Drosophila melanogaster: one gene and its partners. The protein of the gene in region 2 purifies or fractionates together with the protein of the main gene of each other region. This does not show direct contact. Each region holds a gene or a part of one and is shown on either strand. Other genes may lie near its edges. The genes, in order: gammaTub37C, Grip91, Grip163 and Grip128.

Region 1 (4,392 bases), on a different chromosome or scaffold from region 2:
TGATTCTATTGTCCAGCGAACTGTCATTGCGGAAAGCCTCTATCAAATGGGATTTGGGCACGGACAACGAGACCAGATCCAAGGTGGCCGCATCATAAGCCAGAGCTCCCCACTTTCGCAAAGGCACCAGCTGTGTGATATCGGGACTTCGATTGTGGGCTGCACACACGATATGGCAGTTCGGTTCGTGCTGCAGTCCCACGTCCAAGAGGTGGACAAAAAAGGCGGACGACACCAGCAAGTGATGCTGGCCGTGTAGCGCAAATGTTGGCCTCAGCAGACGGGCCTTTTGCCACGGCACACCGGGCATGACGCAGTGCACCACATAGCCGTGGTGAAGCAAAGTCACCGAGTAGGCAAAGTGCACATCCCTTTGCTCCGACTGCATCGGCTGGTACAGGTAGTAGTGACAGACGAAAAACATGCCCGAGGTGTCCGCCAGTATGATGAGATTTAGCGAACTATCGTGCACGCGCAAGGGAACCGCATCGTCATCGTAGCTTGGCGATTCCTCTTTGGAGCCATTGGGCAGCTTTGGCAAATTGAGGGGTATATTAAGCTGCAATAGAAAGATGTAACTACACCTATACGTAATACTTTAATCTTTAAGTACCTACCACTGTTTCCGTTGGCTGTTTTTCGTTAAACTGAAAGGCGGAGAGCGTGGGGCTTAAAGTAGGAGTTGTCTGCTCGCCAGCCTCCTCCCTCTCGTCCAGCAGACTGAGGCTCTTGGCCTTCGGCTTCAAGTGAATGTAATAAAGAGCCTGGCACTCGGGATCCCACTGGGCCCAGCTAAAGTTCCTGGCCAGCGTTTCGTAGGTCAGTATGCTGGTGTCTAGCCTCCAGGCGCTGCCCTCGCCTCCGCCAGTCGAGCATGTGGTGGAGCTCTGCTTGACCACGCAGCTGTACTGCTTGATGGCTAGAAAAAACAGGTACGAGCATGGGAGTTAGAGGTGGATAATGACATATACATGACACCTACATTCCTCGTGGGTGAGCACCAGTAGCTTGTCCTGCCAGCAGGTGCGCGTGGCACTCTCGACGCGCCACAGGAACTGCGTCATCATCTGGCGGTTGGAGGGCTCCGAGTTGAGGGGCGTGGCCGTGCCACCTTCGGAGCTCCTTACCTCCACGACAAAGGCCTGATAGAGCTTGCCCTCAGTTTTCTCCACGAAGGACAGCAATGTGACACTGCTGTTAATCGTTGCCTGGACGATCTCACGGCAATTGTCGAGGGTCCAAAGGAGTCGCAGCTGCTTCTTGGTGGCGTGAAAGTGGCCAATGCACGTCTCCTTGCGCTGATCCTCGTCCGCGTACTCGAATATCCAGGACGTGAGCAGAGATCCATCCTGTTCCTGGCCCAAAATGCGCCACTCGTTTGCCTTCTCTGCGATTTTTACGGACATCCATGAGGCTCGGAGTAAATTGGCGAAATACGAACTCACCTTTATAGCCCTGGCTGGCCAGGAGACCGCAGAAGTTGGCTGCCAAGTTCTCCTGCCGCAGCATTTTTATTTTTTATTCAATATTTGTACATAAACATTTGCAACGAATTTTTTCAATCAGCCTGCCAGTGTGCACGTTGCGCGCTTCTCAGAAAATAACGACTCCCGAGAACCGTTACTCGCAGCCACAGGGTGTGCTGTACAATTGAAAAAGCTAGTCCTTTAAATTTAAAAAAATAACAGTTAATGTTTTATGTAAATGAAAACATAAAAAATATATAACTATGGCTAATTTATTTGAACCTAAATATTTAAAAAAAAAATGGATCAAATCTTAATTCTAAGTATTTTCTATAAGTCCAATAACATTAAATAAATCATAAAGATTAGTAAAGAAAAATAGGTAATAACTTACTGTTGTATTGTACTTCTTGTATATCGATATTAATGACTTCCACTTCCATCTCCAGTTGGCCTTCGATGCACAGTTATTATTTACTGAGAAAGAAGCGAAATTAACTAAACTGCAATTCGAGCAAAATGCCCAGCGAGATTATAACCCTTCAATTGGGCCAATGTGGCAATCAAAGTAAGTTCTTCACGTCGAAATCGAAGTTAAGAGAAGCTCCGGCTTGATCGAGATCACTCCATTCCGCAGTTGGTTTCGAGTTCTGGAAGAGATTGTGCCTGGAGCACGGCATCTCCCCGGATGGCGTCCTGGAAGACTTCGCCACCGATGGACAGGATCGCAAGGATGTGTTCTTTTACCAGGCGGACGACAACCATTACATACCGCGGGCCGTTCTCATAGACTTAGAGCCCAGAGTCATTAACAACATCATGACCTCTCCGTACTCCAAGGTCAGTGCGGAAACTGGTCTTATTGGATCGGATTCTGATCTAATCTACTTTATTTTATGTATTTCATTTAAAAAACTATGTAGATGGATATGTGTTTCCCCTTTGCAGTTGTACAACCAGGAGAATGTGTTCCTCTCCAAGCACGGCGGTGGAGCAGGAAACAACTGGGCGTCCGGCTTTAGCCAGGGTGAGAAGGTGCAGGAGGAGGTGTTCGACATTCTGGACCGCGAGGCCGATGGCAGCGATTCGCTGGAGGGATTCGTGCTCTGCCACTCGATAGCCGGCGGAACTGGGTCCGGAATGGGCTCATATGTCCTGGAACGGCTGTCCGAACGCTTTCCCAAGAAGCTCATACAGACGTACAGCGTTTTTCCCAATCAGGACGAGATCAGCGACGTGGTTGTGCAGCCATATAACTCGATCCTTACCCTGAAGCGTTTGACCAAGTGCGCGGACAGTGTGGTGGTGCTGGATAATACCGCACTGAACCGCATCGCCACCGAAAGATTGCACATCCAAACGCCCACTTTTACGCAGATCAACAATCTGGTGTCCACCATCATGAGTCTGAGCACCACCACCCTGCGATATCCCTCGTACATGAACAACAACCTCATCGGTCTGACCGCCTCGCTCATTCCCACGCCCCAGCTGCACTTCCTGATGACGGGATATACTCCGCTAATGTCCGACTGCGAGGTATGATGATATGACATATGTAAATGGGAATGCAAATAAAAAGAGGCAACCACTTTCAGACCAAGACAAGCGTTCGAAAGACCACCGTTTTGGATGTAATGCGTCGCCTTCTGCAGCCGAAGAACATGATGGTTTCCGCGCTGACGGACAAGCAGAGCCGCCAGTGCTTCGTCTCCATACTGAACATCATCCAGGGCGAGGTGGATCCATCCCAGGTGCACAAGTCGCTGCAGCGCATCCGCGAGCGAAAGCTGGCCAACTTCATACCATGGGGTCCGGCCAGCATCCAAGTGGCTCTGCCGCGCAGCTCGCCCTATGTGCAGTCGGCCCACAAGGTATCCGGATTGATGATGGCCAATCACACGGGTATCAGTTCGCTCTTCAAGAGGGCCTTGGCCCAGTACGATAAGCTGAGGAAGCGCAACGCCTTCCTCGACAACTTTCGCCGCGAATCCATGTTCCAGGACGACCTGACCGAACTGGACATCGCACGGGACACGGTTGACTGCTTGGTGCAGGAATATGAGGCAGCCACCCAGATCGATTATCCCCAGTGGAGTCCTGCTGTCGAAGCTTCGAAAGCCGGTTAATCGATAATTATTTATAATTCAACCGTCAATACTTTTTATTTTTTTTATCAACAATAATATATGTATTTAAAATACTTTATAATCAATTTAGGAATTATAAAAGTTTCCAGGAATGATTCAACTTACATAAATCAAGCAAAAATAACTCTGAACGAGGTAGGAAGTAGTAACGATCACACCTCAACACACAAAAGTTCTGATATCAACTTTTGTGTGAAAAAAAGGGTTTTTTATTCAACTAAGGATATACAATAACTAAAATTTACTTATTCGTTAGTTAGTTTAAAGTTGGTCAACACAATCACTAATTCCACATCCACATGTATCTTGATATGTGTACATTTTTATAGTCATATTGGCTTTGATTTTTCATGTCACTTCACATTTCCCCGTAACAGACTGAGCGAAATGAATTTTCCATTCGTATTCCAAAATTCGATGTGTTAACACCTTTGAAAATAGTTTGTGTCTTACGTTTTCCGGTACCTATTTTGTTGTTTCTAAGATCCTATTTCTGTAAATAGGCCAAATGTAAGTGTTTAGTTCACATTGCATAGAGAACAATCTAATTTGGTTTAAAGTCCACTTAGCTGCCCTTTTAGAAGGAAATTAGGATACCCTGAACGCTTTTCCCCAAGACAAAATAAAATCGTAAGTGAAAACAATTTATATGATTAATTCTTAGCTTTCCTTTCACTTGGAAGATCATGTGCTGCGGACCCTGTGGACCTCGCTGCTGCGATCCGTGCGGCGGATGCTACAACTGCTGCGTGGAACTCTGCTGTGTACCCTGCACC
Region 2 (4,775 bases):
CACCATGTGCACTCTGAGTGGCACTTGGCAATCTAAAATATGTGCATGCACTCGAAACAACCGATAAGAAGTCTAATAGCCAGCCACTTACCTTTGCGTTGCCCATCTGCTCCTTCCAGATCTTCATCGAGAGCACAAACTCCATGTGCTTCATGCGCCAGAGTGGCTTGAAGAGCACCTTGTACGTTGGCATGGTCGACTCCAGCATGGCGGCCAGTGGTCCGTGGACAATGTACTGCAGCGAGATGATGTTCCAGCCAATATCACCGTTGAACGGTCGTTGAACAATCACATCGAGATGGTTTAGAATATCAGGATCATCGTACTGGGCATTCGTACAGCGCAGAGCGGAATCCAACATGGAGGTGAGATCGTTAGCATATATATCAAGGCCCGGTCGCTCCAGTTCGTTCCTGAAAAGGCGATTTTCAAGTGTTACATTAGAAATTGAAAAGTTTCAATTACATTCATCAAGAAAACTAACTTCATGTTTTCAATCAGAATGCTAATAAAATCGCCCTGGCCCAACAGCAAGTAGCGCCGCATTCCGTGCAAATGATCCAGCAGCTTGTGTGGGCCCACCATAATGTCGAGGACATGTTTGGAGGTCTGCTGGTAGCACGTTTCCACGGCCGCATGCCAACTGGTGTCCGGTGTGTACGAAAAGATTTGAGAGGCTGTAGATAAGAGCATGGAGCATTTAAATCATTCGATTTCGCTAATCCAATTTGAAGAGCATGCCTTAACTCACCACTAGATTCCATGACCTTCATTAGTTCGTCGCGCTCCTTCATCATACCCTGCTCCTCGCAGATTTCTCTTAGAAAATTAATGGATTTGCCCGTCATGAGTATCTTATTGGCCATATCCATGGGCACAAACTTGGGCAGCATTGGCAATCGTAGGCGGAATTTATCGTGCCATAGCCGATCAACGCCCACATCTTTAATGGACTTCACAAAGAACTCTCTATGCATATCGCTAATGCCGCCCTCCAGAATCCATTTGGAGATCATGCGCACCAGTGGGCCACAAATGGCAGTTAGGAGATCCTCCACCAATTTATTGACCATATCGTTACCGTTGTCAAGGAAATCATAAACGGTCGATGCCAAATCACCGCCCTTCTTTACCTGGCAGGCGTCGGCAATCTTGGTTAACCACTGCATCCGGTGCAGTGGCTTTATATACCAGGCGAGCAGCTTGAATAGCGTCATTTCATCGCCAGCATCGGGCCCACTATCCTTTTTCCCCTTGTTTGCAATTCCATTCACCGAGGCCTGCCGAAAACGCTGCATTTCATCGTGAAGCATTGCCACTTGCCCGTGAAAATTCGCCAGCTCCTCCTTGAGTTTGGAAATCAGGGCCTGGCCCATGCTGCCAATGGCATTGAAACCGGTCGATACATCCGAAAACTTGACCACTCGATCGTGGTAGTAGCCAAGTTCGGAGAGCCGCAGCAACATGCCCGCTTGGCCGGTGGTCAGGAACTTGATGTTCTGCTGATCCAGCTTGAAACGGCCCGTTACCACATCCTTCTTCAAATACTTCCCTTGAACGCCGGTGAAGGAGTAAATGGCACTCATCACTATATCATGTCGAGACTCGGGCAACATCTTTGTTGCATCCAGGTAGTTGGGCAAGGACTGTTTTCTCAATCCGATGCTGGACTGTGTGGCATCATAACTGTGGCTTGCTGCTGCTCCTGTTACCGCTGCTGCTCCTGTTACCGCTGCTGCTCCTGTTACCGCTGCTGCTCCTGTTACCGCTGCTGCTCCTACTCCATTTCCGTTGACCACTCCCATCTCATTCAGACTGGCTATGGAGGAACTTATTGAGTTAAGACGACTGACCAGAATCTGAGTGAGATTATCGCACTGAGTACGTGGATCTTCGCTGGCAACTGCCTTTTCGGCATCCGAATTGTCGGTCATCGTAAGTAGATGGGTCATTAGCGAGTGCCTCATGTGCGGATCGCACTTGGTCAACGTGAGTTTCCTGTACAGCTCATTGAAGTGATCCGACACAGTTTTGCCCTCCTCCTTCTTATTCCGGGCGCTCAGCAGTTTCATTATCTTCTGGACACATTCGCGCTCAGTCAACATATTTGAGTCCCGAATGACCCGACTATTGGCGGCAATCATTTTGCTTAAATGATCCATTGCTTTTTCTGCAAAAGATTGAACAAAGTGCATTAAAACAAGGGCAATGAAGCCTACAATTATGTATAGTGTCTAGTGTATGTGTTGCATTACGTATCCTTAGATTCATTGATTTGGAAATTGTACGTATTGAGGACCTTGAGGATCTAAGAAACTTGCTCATACTTTTATAGTTAAGTATATGTGATCAATAGTCATTTAAAAACAATTCAAAACTATCTACTTTCGGATAAATATCTTTGAATACTTTGAATTGTTTGTGGGATATATACATTAATTTTGAACATTTACGACTATGCAACACACTTTGGCAATGGTTATTGCTACATTTAATCTAGAACTATAAAAATATAAGTATATGTATTGTTAGTTGCATATCTCAAGGACTCTCTGTTTGAAAATGCCATGAAATATGTTGAGTTTCTGGGATTAACTATAATCCTGAAGCACGTGGTCGATTCCCAAGGGTGGAGGCCTTCTTCCCGGAATGCCAGAGCAGTCCGTATGCCTTGCGTGCCTGGACAGCCAGTGAGTGATTGCACATTCCCAAATCTCACCGTGAACTTCGGGCATCTGCTTGCCCTTGATGCAGATGATCATCTCGTTAATGATATTCGATATATCAGTGGAATTGGTTGCCACATCGATGCCGGCGATCCTGTCCTGCGACATCCTGGTGCACTGAATTGTTCATAAATATCCAATCAAGCGCGCGTTAAACAGCCGATTTTGGATGGCTTGGTAATTGCGAAGTGGACAACAACTGTTGGCCAATGGCAAACGCACAGCTGTTCCCTGGCTATAATACGGCGTGCAGTCACTGGCAATTGTTCGGGATGCGTGAAATCTTCGACAGATAGGACAAAAACGCATCCAATTGGCGCGTACTTCATACAAATAATTTATTAAAATTATTTAGTGCAGTGTTACCGAATCTGGGAAACTTGACAAGGCAAAGTCCTAGCCGCTGGCGGGCACACACTGGCCGAAGGTGCAGCGATCTGGCAGCGCTCGTCTGCAATAGGCTATGCCATTTTGATTATCGTTCTACATTTTACTATAAAAATGTATTTCTGTCGGAATGTTACTGAATGTAGCATTTTTGTATAACAGTTATGTTTAGAAGTGCAGCTTTCAGCTTTTATGTTAATTCCATTGCAAACATCTGACAGCTCTGGGGCCGCAAACGTTTCCAACTCTCACTCGCCTGGTCACACTGTCCGTTTTGCATTTGCAATTGCTTGTAAGCAAAAATGGTAAACTTTAAAATTGTTAATATTTAATATAAAGGCTGAAGACATAGATGAGACTGACCAACTGCGTTTCGCCATGGAGCACACCAACGGCTGTAATTGGCTACAAGTCGTGTTTGATACCTACTGCTGGGGGAGTTAAAGCTTAAGGTGCTGCAAGGATGTCTTGGAATTCCAATGGACAAGGACTTTCCTTCGTCGCAATGGGCCATCAGCAGCTGGATGCGGTGGAGCAGTACCTGGAGCAGCCAACCCAACTACCTAGCAATATGTGGGCTAATCCTGAGCCCCAGAAATCAAGCTGGAACCACCGAGTGAACCGGTGACCAAGAAGGATTCTTCGCCACCAGATTTGAACGCGAAATAATATGTGAAATAATATATAATGTATATAATGTGTATTGAAACAGAAACCTCCGGTATTTAATTTAGAACATAGTTAAACTCTCATCCGGTTTACCTTACTCACTTCTATACGTAATTGCATTTAATATCCGGAGATTTCTGTAACGAAAAAAAAGCAAAATAAATGTTGGCCCGATCCTAAATTATTTCCAACTAAATAAACGAATTTGCCCATTGAAAACGCATTAAAATATGTTTTTAATTTTTATTTTTGATGTATATTTTCTGCTTTTAACACATTAGTTTATATATATATATATGTAGATATATATATTAAATATATATAGATGTGTGGGCGCGCATTTTTAAGAATATGTCGAATTTTGTTTCTTCATGAAGTGTGAACATTTTAAAATATAAGTGCGGCGAAAACAAAGTCTTTTTCTTATCATATAAAATGCAGCTTTTATTCAATCAAAAAAAAAAAAAAGCAAGCAGAATAAGATGAATCCGTGGGTAAATATACGTATAAAGTAAAATTAAGCTTAATTATGTTAGTCTTCTGACACACAAAGTTACAAAAAAATTAAGGAAAATCATGTTTTCGATGCGCATAGGAATATTATAAATGTTTTTCTCAATTTCAAGTCAATGGAATTTGTTTTGTGTAATCATCAGAGTTTTGATTGCGTTGATAGCATAAATCATCATCATTGGTTCGTTCCAAATACAAGTTATTCAATCAATTCAATCAACCCAAGAGGTGTGTGTGAGTGTGTGTGTACGAGTGCCTATAACAGTTTCATGTAAATAATATGCTTTGATTTCATGTGGCATAATGACGGTCGTGCTAAGTACGCCCACTCGCATCCTTTATGTGAGATCCTAGCCACAAAAAGCGACCCATCTCTGTTCCTGTTGCTCCTGCTCGTGGTTCCCCGCATACTTTTGGCTGGATTCTTCTTTCTTTTTCTTTTTTTTGTGATCGTTTCACTCATATCTCCTTTTTTAACAA
Region 3 (7,524 bases), on a different chromosome or scaffold from region 2:
TCGTCCATCAGCTTCTGGATCTGATCCTCTGTGATCTCCGCCTCCTTCGCCTTGGGCCCAATTATTCCCTTGGCTCGGAGCACATCATTCCACTCGGTATCTTCGTTTGGGTCCTATGGACAACAAGGCCACGTGAGTTTCATTTCATTCATGATTTTCAATACCAAATATGGGGTTTATTTTTGGATGCACCAAAACACACCCACCATTACCATTTATCGAAATGGAAAAACCTTATTGTTCGGATAATAAATATAATTTGCTTATAACAGTCCATCTTACCTGCATGTTTTTTGATTATAGTTCGATGAAATAAATTACTTAAAAATATAAAATTCTTGATCGCGTGCAGCGCTTTTATAAACTAAAAATAAAACTGAATTATTCTACACGAAGTGACTCATGACCAGGGATGGAGCGAATACCGATACATCGTACGCGCACAGTCACTTAGAGATGATAGGGAAGCGATACCTTACATACGTTTGAATTAAATATTAAATATTAAATATTAAATATGGTAAGACATACATAAATAAGCACATTTATTTATAAATTCGAATCAACAGTTTCAAGAAATCATGTCGACATTGGTTTCATTACAATATTTAATACGTACATTCTACTTTAGAGACAATTGTCTCTTTTAAAAGTTTTTCTTAAATATTAAACAGAAATCTATTAATGATATGGATAAATATTCAAAACAGTTTTTTCGGCATTTAATACGAGTTCAATTAAAACACTATTAGATGTTACTAATTAAATTATTTTCTTTTAATTTGAGCCGGTTATTTGAAAATTAATATTAACTTACAACACAACAAAACTGTTAACCGAAACTAAAGAAATAGTACTAAGAAATAAATGCCTTTAAAGCTGATTTTCTTCACCGAAGCTTTACATTTAGGAGACGCCATGCATGCATAAATATTTTTTAAAATGTTCTAAGCTCAGCTTAATGGCAAGATAAATTCCCTATCTAACAATTATTGGCTAGCACTTTTTGTCCTCCATTGAGGAACCAGTATGGTTCCCAGATACCTTGTAATAGTGGTTAAAGTTAATAATACAAATCAGGTCACCGATTTCCTCCTGGTAACCAGAAGCGGCCGCCTTGTTGCCCAAATAGATGAGATACTGCAAGAATTTCTCGAACTCAGCCTCTTCCTGCTGCAGACGTTTGAAGCGGGGGTGCACAAAGTAATTATCTTGATCCACAATAAAGGACTGCGACTGAATGACTCTGAAAAACATTTAAATTAAAGAATAAAATGAATCAGCAGACTATTTAAGACGTAAACTCACTTGCAAAAGCGTAGTATAATCACTAGGATATTATCAATGGTTTCCTTTACTTTCGCACTGCGTCGATTTAGCAGTGCTAGGAAGGCTACCCGCTTTAAGTAGGCAACATGCTGCTTGTACAACGCCTCAATGGAATCGGCTGTGCACAACTCCTCCTTGAAGCTCTTCCAGGTGGACAACAGGGCCTTGGCCACCAGATGCGTTTGAAACGAGGTCATGAAGTGCGACATCTTGTGGCGCATCATCTGCATGTGTCGGAAATGAGTACATGTCCGAAGTTCCGGTCCCAGAAGCTTGCCCATTTGCTGCAGATACTCGTAGGTTCCATCCAGCACGAAACTAACGTGACGAAGCTTCAGCAGATACCCGAAGATCTGGCCATATTTTGAAATCGTCTCCGAGCTGATCACCATGTTTAAAGGCCAATCAATCTTGCAGTTCAGCTTTAGCATAGAAGTGGCTTCCACGGACAGGAAGTTGAGCGTATCCGGGATGGTGGTACAATTGAGGGTAAGGTTCTCCGATACCGTCGTTTCATCCGCCGAACAAGCCGCCAGCGCATTGGTTAAAATGGTGTCAAGGATGCCCTTCTGGCTGAGACTTCGTGGCCCAACGCCCGCCCTTATTCTTCCTAGAATTTCGTTCGTGAGTGTAGCTCCAAATTGACCGTCCACCAGGAAAAAGTAGTTTCTGAGCTTGCGGAAATGCTCGTAGATACGCTGCTCCTGGAATATTCTCAGCACTTCATTTCGGAGCAGTCCGTAGTATGCGTTAAGGGGCGCCATTACGGAGAGCTGCAGGCAGCGGCGGGCCATAAACGGATTGCAAGCCTCGGGCAAAGTGCTAACTTTATCTCTGTCCTGTTCCGTCTCCCTTTCATCTTTCATTCCAAAATCCAGTTTCGGCAATAAGCTAGTTGGTTTAGCAATTGCAAGAACGGGCTTTGGCAACTCCGGAGACAAACTTTCAATGCTCCCACTAACATTGTTATTATTAGCAGTGTCAGCTATTTCTGGTAGTTCCCGTGGCGACGGATCACCGAAATCCACATCGGAAGTGGTGGACATTGGAGTTAGCACCGCCAGGGGAATTTCGACGTGAAGCTTGTCGATTTCGAGAGGCAAACAGGGCGTGGCCTTTGTTTCTATATCCGTGTTCTTATAACCTAGACCGAACTCGGTCTCCATAACCCGAAGTCGATTTCTGCCACGTTCAGTATTTGAGTTCAATAGGGAACGCAATCGATGGGTGTGCTCATCTTCGGTAGAGTTAAAACTGAAGAAGCCGTCATGATGCTCGTTGCGCTTGCGGTTTCGCTGTAGTTCGGTCAGCTCTTTCGTGTCCGGGCAATTGAGATTAGCATTAATATCTTGAGGAATTTCTGCGTGCAATCCTGAACTCGTGCTGGCAGCGGTTTTAAGTAAGTCGGACTCTTGTAGATGTACCGTGGCATGACACTGTTGAAACTGGTCGGAGGAGAGACCATGCTGGCGGTTTCGATTGAACTCTGCTTGGGTTGTTGGATGCTCGTTAGAATTTATCACGTCCGAGTGACTCCGTTGATACTGAAACACATTGGGAAGTGAACACTCTTTGCCACGTGGTTGGTCCACATCTACATCCGCTTGATATTCAGCTTCGGGCTGTTCCAATGGAACATTTAAAGTCTTATCCAACTGTTTTGTTGCCTCATCCTCTGAATTTTCTGTATTTGCATCATCTTTATCAGAAGATGATTCTGCTAGACAATCTGGTTCCTCAATGCAGGATGCAAAACTGAGATCGCTGACTGTGCTTCGGTCAGGACTGGACGACAGGACAGCTGCTAGCTGCACCACTTTCTTTTGCAGCTCTTGCTTTTCCCGCTCCAGGAGCTTATCCTCCATCCGTTCGCATTCCCGCTGAAATGCAAGTTCATTAACAATGTCCTGACGCCGCTTCTCTAAGTGATTTTGCTGGATACGTTCCTGCTCTGCGTTTAACTGATCGTTCTGGAGTTTTTTCTGGGCATTCGCTTTTATTTGGAGTTCACGCTGCTTCTGCGCCCACGCGTCCAGATGGGCCTGCGTTCGCTTCACCATTAGATTGGCAAATACACGCTTTGTCGCCATGCGGTCCTCGAAAATGCTTTGCATGCTGCACCATCCGAAACGTTTATAGATGATGGCATACTTATCGGCCAGGTTGCGGCGCATATTTTTGAGTTGTTGCTCCGTTAGGCAAACCACAATATCCGGGTACTGCACGTCAAAAACGGGGTGCTAAAAAAAGAATAAATCATTATATATGGATTCTAGTTTTGAATAATCTTCTGCATACCTGAGCGTTATATGCCCTTAGCACCAGGTTGTATTTGCCACATTGAAGAATTTCCTCTTCGCAACCGACTAAAAATTCAGGAATCGCCTCGTTGTCCACTTGATAGCTTTTGTCAAAGAACTCTTTGCTGCACTGGTTTGTAAAAGACGGTGAAGTGTTCAGACAGCGGCTGATGAAAATCTCGTTGACCGACTCGTCTAGTTCACCATGGTAGATCCATCTCTGTAGCTGAATAAAATAATTACGGGATATGCAGCGCAAGAAATAGATGAGCAGGTGCAGGAAGTCTTTGTTTCCGCAGGTGTCGATGGCCAGCCAGATGGAGCTCAACAGGAAGGAGCCAGTTATCCCAGTGTTCAGGTTTACTGCATTAATGTATATAAAAGAGATTAATTCTGAAATAATTTCGCGTCGCGGCATTCTTACATCTTGGTTCATTTTCGAACATCCTATCTAGTTGGCAGAGTAACTGAATCGCTGTGGAGGTGTTGTTTAGCAGCTGGAAAAGGCTATCGGCTTGCAAAGAGAGCAAAAACTGCCGAGTGGTGCTTAGATAGTCCATAATCGTCTCTCGCATGGCCTATAAGAAAGCATGGGATTGTTGAATATATCACTACTGGAAATAAGGTATTCAATCTCACTCGATTTAGAGGCCTTTCCAGCCGCATTTCGGCGATATTGTTCCATTTGGTGCGGGAACTCAAACGCAGGAAGGCGCAGCCGGCACGAATGAAGTGATTTGCAAAATCCGCCAGCACCTCCGGCAGCATAGTTGGCAAAGTTGTGTTGGGCCTCACTCGCAACTCCAACTTATCTGCCGACGAGATGGGAAACGTTAAAGATTCAATACCACACGCTGCTTTCTTTAGGTGATCGATTAGGGTTGCTTCATCTAGGTAGTTGAGAACCAGGTTCTTGTTCCGGAGGATCTTAAGTTCGTTGGTCAACAATTTATCCGAAACGAAGTGCTTCTCCGGTCCAGGCTGGGCCACAAAAGGTCGTTCATCCTCTAATGGAGCTACGACTTTTTTCGCGAGCACTGGCAATCGGGGTGGTGGATGCATTGGTTTTTCCATTTCGTTCCTCATGCGTGTAATGGACTCTGATAATCCCATGCGAATTACAGTAGATGGTATGATCTTCGGAATTAGCTTTTCTGGCGGAAAATTTATATTCAGGTTACTCGTTGTAAGAATATCGGAGTATGGCTGTAGTTGCAGGGGTTTCAGGGCGCGATTCATTTGATTGATGTCGGGAAAGGCCTTTGGATGAAGTGCCTCCTCCACAATCTCTATGGTTTCAATCAGCTGCAGTGGACCTGCCTTGATACGTTTGATCACCACTTCGGACTGGTTTTCCTCATCCTGGTCCTGTGTAATCTCCGATTCTTCCTTATCCTGTCCTTCTAGCAGATTTTGGAACCTGAGCAGCATGTCCATCCGGTCTGGGTTCTTTGCCACCTCGCTGGTCACCTGGTGGAGCATCTCCAGCTTGTCCTGGGACGACATCGTTTCACTGTGAAGCAGCGATTCATAGATTTTGGAGCGCTTTTTGGCCACCAGCACAGCTGTTTGTTTTTTTGGCTTCATCTCATCGGCCACCAGCATTGTGGCCATTTTGGTTACCAGGTCGAGGACGCTGTGATTGCATTCAGCCACAGTTGCCATCGATTTGGCTTTTAATACTCAAAAACTAAAAGATATTTTCCATAAACAAAACATAAGGACTAGGCTCGGTGTGACCGCACCACAGTTTCACAAAAATCCGACTATTGCTACTTCGGCGTATTTCCGTTATATTTTAAAAATACCTTTTATATGTTCATTAACCCACTATTGATTTTTAACCCTTGAAAATTTTGTTTTCATCTGTAGATATTGGGATTCTTGGTTTCTCTTGATTTGATATTTGATATTTGATATTTTTTTCTACAGGTTTTCGCCATCTTTTTTCTACTAAACCAAACATCTCGATTCGTATTCATACTTCAAATAAAAACACGTTTTCGAAATGTACACTAAATTAAAAAGTTTTAAATATATTGTTTTTTTGCTCTTTTTACAAATACACAATATTCTCTGTTTCGCTCATTGGCTTACAGTTTTAGCTTAATTTTACATACCTTAGTTTTGTATTCGTAACACATTTAAGACATGCAGAACTTGAAATTGAATCTATTTTAGTTTTGCCGGTTTTTCATTTCTATGCGATTTACAATTAGTTTATGCCATGTTTTCGTATTGAACGGTTGCCTATTCATCTGAACTTGCGTGGGAAACATCAAGAAGTTAGCTTTATGGCCAACGGGGTATAATTGTTCACAAATGGGAACGATCTGTGTCGACTGTCCACAGATTACTGCAATGGTGTTGTTACGGCTAGGATCAGTTGGCCAGGTGGTGTGGCCTGCACAGATGCCGACGGACCCGGTGATTCCTCCTGCTCGAACTTCCTGTCGTGCACGACCACGTTCCCCATCAGTACGAATCATGAAGCGCTGTTCGTCTCACCGTTGCTGTCGTGGAAGTTGGTGCCATTGACGATGAAGGAGGTACCCAGGCCGTACAGGTGTCCGGAGTACTTCGCATGGTCGATGTTGTCCTCGAAGAACATCTGCAAAGATTGTAAGTTTCATTAGGCAGGTACAGAACATTGGATCGTTTTTCGAATGGGACAGCACAAATGGGTTAGAAAGCAGTTTCTGGGTAAGTATGGTAATTATGGGATGTATCAATGCGAGCAACTTTAGTTGGGAGCTACAAAGCGTATAAAGCACACATATTTCTACGGCAGCAAAGTCTTAGAAAGTAATCCCAAGTAGATGGGTGGGTCCTACTTGTAGATAGGATTTGTTACATACCGCAGAACCGATGTGATTGGACGAGGTTTCAATATTAGTAAATTTCATATTTAATGAATGTTAGTATGGGATGGGATTTATTCTGCAATGTTCTTGTTATTTCAAAACTATTCGGCAGTTCTCTAGAAGATAAAGGTCTTGGTACGCTGATACACACAGTAAACCGTGTGGAAACATATGTCAGCAAAGCGCTTAAAATTACAAAAGAATAATTTGTTAATTCGATATAAATGAAGAGCGTGAACTTAACATAAATTAAAATGAACATCAATACAATTAAAAAGATGTCATATGAAATCAAGCAAGCTATGATATGCATATGCCATGCCCAAACACCAAAGAATGCAAATAAACATTTAAAGAAAATTAATTCCAATTCATTTAATTTTCCATTCGAATCCAGCGCGTTTCTCATTTCAATTCGTATCGCGGGCATTACAGCTAAATAAACATGTTTCACATGGGTTTAACAGCTCCAAACTAACTACTAAGAACACTTCAAATTATGGATTTCATTCATAAATTCTGGGTCACTGGCTCTGTAAATTGTGCAGGTCACAAAAAACTAAGTACATAGATGAGTTATGTATGAAAATGCGTTATGACAACCATGAAAAACCTTAAACCTAAGGAATAATGATTATGATGGGCGGAGGCACGTTACGTTAGCAGTGGCAAGTGCACGGCAACACCAGCGAGCGAGCTGTCTAATCATCCGAAGCTATTCGAAATAGACGTATGGCGATTGGACAGCGATGCGGCATCGCTCTTGGCCATGCCGGGCGTATTAGGAGGTGTAACCATGTAGGCGCTCGAGGTGAACTGCTCGGTGGAGTTGGTGTTGCCTGTGCCGTTGCCACTGCTGATTATCGCAGATTCGTCGGGGGCAGGGCCCCCATTGTATGCCGGACGGCTCAGCAGATGGATGCAGCTGATCGTCGGCTTTAAGTTCATGGTGTGCTCAAGCAGATAGCGAAAGAGTACATCGTGCGCCACCGGTGTAATGTGGAAATCATTTGTGTGCTGTACCTCACGCA
Region 4 (6,130 bases), 1.7 Mb from region 2:
GGGTTACTTTCTGCTCCAAATATGTATTAGCCTAACATTGAGGTGCTGCAGATTGAAGATTGAAGGAAGGCGGAACACATTAGCGCCACGCCAACCATGAGAAACCAGCTAAACGGGCGAAGCGAAACGAATAGAGCGGCGAGGCGGCAGAGATCAACGGACTATGCGACGGCAAGGAGTGCATTGCTGCTGTCTGGTGGCCATCGCCCTGGCCATGGCCATACGCCAGGTGTCCATGGGCATCAGCGCCAGCGATCGCCGCTTCCAGTGCCTGCAGACGCGACTGATAGGCCAGGCCAACTGCTCGCCATGCGCCGATCTGTACGTCTTCAATCGCCAATCCGCCTACCGGCGCTGCGAGCACGTCAACGGTAATTGCTACCCACATCGCACGGTCTTCGCCAGCGCCCGCATGTGCGAGCTCACCTGCCAGCCGTACATCCGGCGACCCACGCTGCACGAGGTGACCACCCTGCCGCCGCCACCACCGATCGTCGAGCCCTTCGGCGACAGCGATGAGGAGTTCGAGTGAGGTTTTGTCAACAAAGATAAGCTGCTTTTAATTCAGTTGGTATGGGAATGTTTGGTCGGGATTATAGGTAGTGGTGCAGGTGATGGTAATGCGTAATGTTTAACAAGATCCTTTGTGGAGGAGATTCGATTCTAATGGGGCACACTGGAGTTGATGGTCTCCTCCAAGGCAGACACTGCAAGACGAAGTGAAAAAGAGTAAGTTCAAATGTCCAAATTTCGGGACCAACAATCACTTACGGAATCCGTGATCGTTCTGGTGCACCAGCGTGTTAAGGATGTCGGCCAGCATCTGGTGGCAACGTATGTACGTTAACTCGATCTCCGCCACCTGGTTGAGCGCCAGGTACTCCAAGCTACGACGTTGCGTTTCGCTGTCATCAATGCCGTCATCCGAAATGGTGACGTCCAAGCATAGGGCATCGTGGTCGTGCATGCAGCTGGCGCAGGTGGTCCACTCCATGTCCAGCACGTAGACCAGATGAAAGATCTGGTCGAGGGCGACGCGGAATGCCTTAAATTCGTCGGTCAGCATACAGTGTGTCTTCAGCCACGCCAGGTGCTCGTCGTGCATGATACGCAACTCGCGGACATTCTTGCACTCGCCAATCCTGAGCTCGAACTGCCGGCTCACGGCCTCCATAATGTGCGCGTGCAGGTTGTTGATGAGGAAAATTAACCAGAAGCGCACAATCTCCAGGCGACGAATGGTCAGACCGATCAAATCCAGTGGTGCGCAGGGATTGAACCTAGCGCGACGCAAAAACTGCATATTCTCCAGCTTCCAGACGGCCCACTTCACCTTCAGCATCAGACGCCACACCGAATTGTAGTCTTGCATGTGCGCGGGTGTGAGAATGTACCACTGGTGCATGGCCATTGGCCGCTCGAAGTCCAGTTCAATAGCCTCCAGGGCCTCATAGACCTTGATTGAATTCGAGTTTATCTGGGATATTAACTTGACATGAAGATAATGAGCCAATTGCGGATAATGCGGAAGGAGCACAGCGCATAGCTTAGAAGTGAGCACCGAACCCAGTGCCCAGCTATTGTTTTTCTCCATGCGCACGAAGAGTGCGTTGTAGTATGGCACAAATAGGTAGTATTTCTCCAGCAGCATCGTATGCCGCAGGAATCGCATCTTCTCGGCCACCTGCGTTTCCTTGCAGTACGCTCGAATCGCGTACTCGTTCGCCAGCCACTGTCTCCTTCGCAGTATTTCGCGCAGTGCCTCCGGCAACTCAGACTTCAGCTGCAGACATGTGGAGCGCTCCAAGCGCTTCAAAATGTTGGCCATTAGAACGGGGTTGCTTTTAAGCCGCTCACGTTGTCGCTCCAAACGTTGTTCCACCAACGGCTGGGTAAATATGGCGAAAAGTTCATGGTTCCTAATGCCCTGCCTATTGCACACAGTCAGATCTTCGTAGTCTTTGTCCGGCTCCGGCTCATCCTCGTAATCCGTGTTGTCCGCACCACAGTAAACCTTTAGCTGCGCAAAGAACTGCGTGAACAGCTCATCGTGCAGCGACGGCAGTTGGATTTCATTGTTGCTGGTCAGCATTTCGCTCAGCGTATTTACACTACATAGCAAATCTTGCGTTTCGCCAGACTCCAAGGCATGCTCCAGCAGTAGCTGGTAGAGTGGGCAGGATTGCAGCTTGTTGAAGATCTCCACGAGTAGCAAATCATCCTCCATTCCCATATTTCGTTTGCGCACGTGGCTACGTGTGTTCGCATCTTCCTCGTAACTATTAAAAACAATGTAGTTATGACTTCAGCTGGCCAGAGTGATGTGTGAGCACCATTTTGGCTTACCAAAACTCCACGATGAACTCGCGAAGGTGATCTTCCAGCGCGGCCCTGCGCCACCAGCCGTCGATGATGATACAATATCGCTTGAGAGATATAAACAGCAGGGCAGTGGCCAGCTTCTGGTGCGGCACCTGCAGCAAGGTGTGCTTATACAGTCTGGATAGCAAGTAGGCACTGCGTATGTGCGCAGGTCCCTTATCCAGGATGACATCTTCGGCCAGCTCTCGCAGTAAGCGCAGCTGGCTAAAATGTTCCCTGAACTCAATCGTAAAACGGATCAGTGTATTTTTCGCTGGATCCTTATTGACACGATCCTCGTAAGCGATGAGGAGCTGGCAAATGGGCTGGACAAGATCTCTCAGGCCGTATGCAAAGAACTCCACGGTGTATGTTGTCTTTACGCCATGAAAATGCAACGTATGAGTATCGATGATGTGACGCAGTTCCATCATGTCCTCCAGCGCAGGCACCACATCAAATAACAGAAAATTTTGCATTGTGCTCTACAAAAAAAAAAGCCGGACTAAAGATAGAGTTACACATTAACGATTCGACTTTCTTACCGCAGTCACCGTACAAATACTGACATTGTCACGCACAGTAATGCGTCGCGTGGCCTTGTCGAATTCAAAGAAACAACAGCTCGCTGGACGCACAAACATGAAGAGGATCTCCCTTAGCAGACAGGGCTCCGTGATGGTTTTCGGCACTGGCAGGGCCAACAAGCCTCGGGCATTGTGATTCAGAAACTGCACGTAGCTGACGGCAAAGTTGTCCAGTGGCTTAGCACTGGAGGGCAGGGCGTTTAAATGGACATCTTGGCACCACCAGTGGGAATGGATTTTACGGAAGAGCGTATCTGTGTTGCCACTTTGCCAATATTGGGTGAATGGTCGGGGCGGTTGGGGTGGCGGCAACTGGAGCAGCTTGCTTCGTCTCAGATGGCTGCCCTTTAAGTTGTTGAGGCTTAGAACAGTTGGTTTCATTATCCGAAAGTCGTAACTCCGGATCACGCTCTGCTCGGGCGGCATATACGTTTTGTTAACACTTCCAGTCGGAACGACTGCCATCATGGCCTGCTCGTACACCCTGGCCATTTCCAAGAGGCTTCGCGAGACGCCAATATTTTCATCGGGCTTCAGAGTAGTTGTCGAGTCGCAGTCCGACTCCTCCGACCAGTCCTTTTGGAAAGAAGGTAAAGGTATTAGTATGCTGCAAATGATTTTATGGAAAGAACAGGCTACATATGTGTAGCAGATGACATATGTTTGGGGTTCTCTAGATGCTCACACTTAAGCTGTCCGAGCTGTCATCCTCTGGCGGATCCAGAAAATCCTCGGACAGCAGCGCTGCCCAGTCCACCTCCGTTTCGGAGGTATTCTTGGCTGCCTCCAGTTTCGCCTGTTCCTCTATCTGTGCCTGTCGCTCGGCTTCCTCCATGCTATTAATTATGGACAGACGGCGCTGTTCCATGAACTCGCGGTTCAGCCGGATCTTTTGCACCGGCCTATCGGCTATGCGAAACAGCAATTCGAGCATTTGCCATCCGGGGTTAGGATTGAATTGCTGTTGATTTTCGTCCATAGCCAAATACCTGATGGCCAAGTCCTTGATGCTCTCACCAAAAGACGCCATGCCCTCCGCCCGAAAACGCTCTGCCAGATCGTCCAGGTTGCGTTTCACCTCCATGTCCGTCGTTGTAGGAGCCCATGTCCTGCGTTGGTTGGCGATTATCTTCAATGCCGTATCCTCCATCTGGCGCAACTTTTTCTGGCTCGTCTGCGTTTTAAGTTGGTTAAATTGGAATAGGGATAACATCTGTTTTAAAACATACCCCCGGTTCCGACAGGCTCCTGACCAGTTTTCGCACGTTCTCGTTTATGGCGGAGTTGACTGCCGTCGAGGTCTTGCCGGAGCGCTTCCGTAGGTTACCCTTCTGGGCGGGAGGAGCCATTTCGCTCCGCTTTCTGATTGAGATCCAATAAATTCTATAAATGGCGCCCTCAGCAATGACAACAACGTAAATGGTACACCGGCATAATTATCGGTTCAGTTATCGATAGCAATGGAAACAGCTGTTCGTGGATGATCGACAATCGACTTGAAACGTAAACAATTGTAAATGTTGTCATTTAAATTGAGTTTTCGAAGGGCAATATGACGACCAGCTCGCCTCACCCCACCTACGTAATACTGGGCTCTGGCGGCCACACGGCGGAGATGTGCCGGCTGACCCAGGCGCTGCTGCAACAGACAGACATCGAACAGACGGAGAAGTACCAGCCAATTAGACTGATCCTGGCCAACAGTGACTCTACCTCCGAGCGCCAGTTCAGGCAGGTCCTGCCGCAGGCTGCCCAGAGGGCGGAATTCGTGAAGGTGCCGCGCAGCCGCGACGTGGGCCAATCCTGGCTAAGCAGCATCTTCACCAGCCTGTGGGCGCTTCTCTGGAGCTGCTATCTGGTCTGGCGTGATCGCCCCCAACTGATCCTCTGCAATGGACCCGGCACCTGTGTGCCCTTCTGCTATGCCGCCTATCTGTGGCGCCTCCTCGGACGCCTGCCCTCGCACTCCAGAATAGTGTTCGTGGAGAGCTTCTGCCGCGTGGAGACGCTGTCGCTGAGCGGACGCCTGCTCCTTCCGCTGGCGGACCTCTTTGTGGTCCACTGGCCGGCGTTGGCCACGCGCTATTTGGATAAAAAGAATGTGCGATATTTTGGGCGAATCCTGTAACATGTTTTTAATAACATTAAAGTTAACATTAGTTTCTATTTAACGAATTATGTTTTGTATGAGATGTTTTTTGTCCTAGCGCTTCTTGCGACCAGCGCAGACGGATCCATGGACCTTCAGGTGTAGAGGCATGATCTCCAGGCCACATCTGGGGCAGCCTACGGTCTCTTTGAAGAGGTTGCGCTGGCGGCGCTGACGCGGAGTAAGTTCGTCCTCGCTAGACGGCAGAGTAGACGAGTCGGTAGAGGAGCTCAGGTTGAGCTTGTCGATCTCCCCTTCTGTGTAACCGGAGCTGCGAAGAATTCCTTTTGATGACTTTGCTTTCGATTTAGCGCGGCGTGATGTGGAAGCTCCCGACGAGTCCTTTGAGGTTAAGGAAGCAGTTGTTCGGCGGTTTTTAGGCTTAAACGATGGCGGTTCCAAGCGCACCATAATGGCGCAGCCATCGAAGTGATTGGACAACTCAGTGCGCCTCATTTTCTCAAAGCAAATGGGACAAGATACGATGTCGTTCTCAATTCTTTTGGCGTAGCTTGAGCAACTGGGCTGCACGTCGTTCTCACGCTGGAACTCCTTCAGCAGGGTGTCCTCTCCAAAAATATCATCTATAATGGATTGGTCAGCTAGCTCCGTGGCGGCTGTTAAAGATTCATTTGCGGCCACCTCATCGTCGTATTCATCATCAATTAAGAGGATATCGTCCTCACACAAGGTCAACTCATCCTCCATTACCTGGCGCTTGATGATCTGCGTGCGCTCCTGACTGGTCATGGTTTTTCTGCCAGCTGGCATCTTCATCTCCTCTTCATCACTAGAGCTTTCGACCAAGTTGACGATGGGCGTATGAACATCCCTGACCATTACGTCATCATCGTAGGACTCCCAGTTGATTATCTCGCTGTCGCTGGAAACACGACGCCTCTTTTTCTTATTCTGTCGCTTGTTGGAAGCATCTTCGCTAAAACGCTGAAGTCGAATTTGACGAAGTTTAGCGGAATCGGGAACATCAGTGTCACTAAGATCTATGTGTTCTATAGCGCTAGAGCCACCAAGA

The links.
Region 1: the proteins of Grip91 (region 2) and gammaTub37C purify together in Drosophila melanogaster (affinity purification with western blotting; 4 studies listed by BioGRID, with this or other methods). This does not show direct contact.
Region 3: the proteins of Grip91 (region 2) and Grip163 fractionate together in Drosophila melanogaster (co-fractionation; 3 studies listed by BioGRID). This does not show direct contact.
Region 4: the proteins of Grip91 (region 2) and Grip128 fractionate together in Drosophila melanogaster (co-fractionation; 3 studies listed by BioGRID). This does not show direct contact.

Annotation. Positions count from the first base shown.
Region 1 is NT_033779.5:19,183,246-19,187,637, reverse strand, and holds gammaTub37C (gamma-Tubulin at 37C), read left to right. Parts: upstream 1-1,911; 5' UTR 1,912-1,985; coding exon 1,986-2,034; intron 2,035-2,103; coding exon 2,104-2,306; intron 2,307-2,414; coding exon 2,415-3,005; intron 3,006-3,064; coding exon 3,065-3,595; 3' UTR 3,596-3,775; downstream 3,776-4,392. Other genes in the region: pigeon, read right to left, coding at 1-559, 618-919, 983-1,387, 1,446-1,509; CG46059 (uncharacterized protein), read left to right, coding at 4,303-4,392. UniProt on the Drosophila melanogaster protein: Tubulin is the major constituent of microtubules. The gamma chain is found at microtubule organizing centers (MTOC) such as the spindle poles or the centrosome, suggesting that it is involved in the minus-end nucleation of microtubule assembly.
Region 2 is NC_004354.4:13,741,565-13,746,339, forward strand, and holds the start of Grip91 (Gamma-tubulin ring protein 91), read right to left. Parts: upstream 3,120-4,775; 5' UTR 2,835-3,119; coding exon 2,720-2,834; intron 2,171-2,719; coding exon 752-2,170; intron 678-751; coding exon 485-677; intron 414-484; coding exon 92-413; intron 1-91.
Region 3 is NT_037436.4:11,992,757-12,000,280, forward strand, and holds Grip163 (Grip163), read right to left. Parts: upstream 5,383-7,524; 5' UTR 5,295-5,382; coding exon 4,269-5,294; intron 4,208-4,268; coding exon 4,054-4,207; intron 3,993-4,053; coding exon 3,628-3,992; intron 3,570-3,627; coding exon 1,309-3,569; intron 1,247-1,308; coding exon 997-1,246; 3' UTR 518-996; downstream 1-517. Other genes in the region: viaf (viral IAP-associated factor), read right to left, coding at 1-113, 283-288; Pop2, read right to left, coding at 7,199-7,524.
Region 4 is NC_004354.4:15,467,743-15,473,872, forward strand, and holds Grip128 (Grip128), read right to left. Parts: upstream 4,378-6,130; 5' UTR 4,298-4,377; coding exon 4,178-4,297; intron 4,123-4,177; coding exon 3,634-4,122; intron 3,525-3,633; coding exon 2,907-3,524; intron 2,847-2,906; coding exon 2,347-2,846; intron 2,280-2,346; coding exon 772-2,279; intron 708-771; coding exon 664-707; 3' UTR 539-663; downstream 1-538. Other genes in the region: CG15641 (uncharacterized protein), read left to right, coding at 164-532; Alg14 (ALG14, UDP-N-acetylglucosaminyltransferase subunit), read left to right, coding at 4,501-5,076; mh (maternal haploid), read right to left, coding at 5,152-6,130.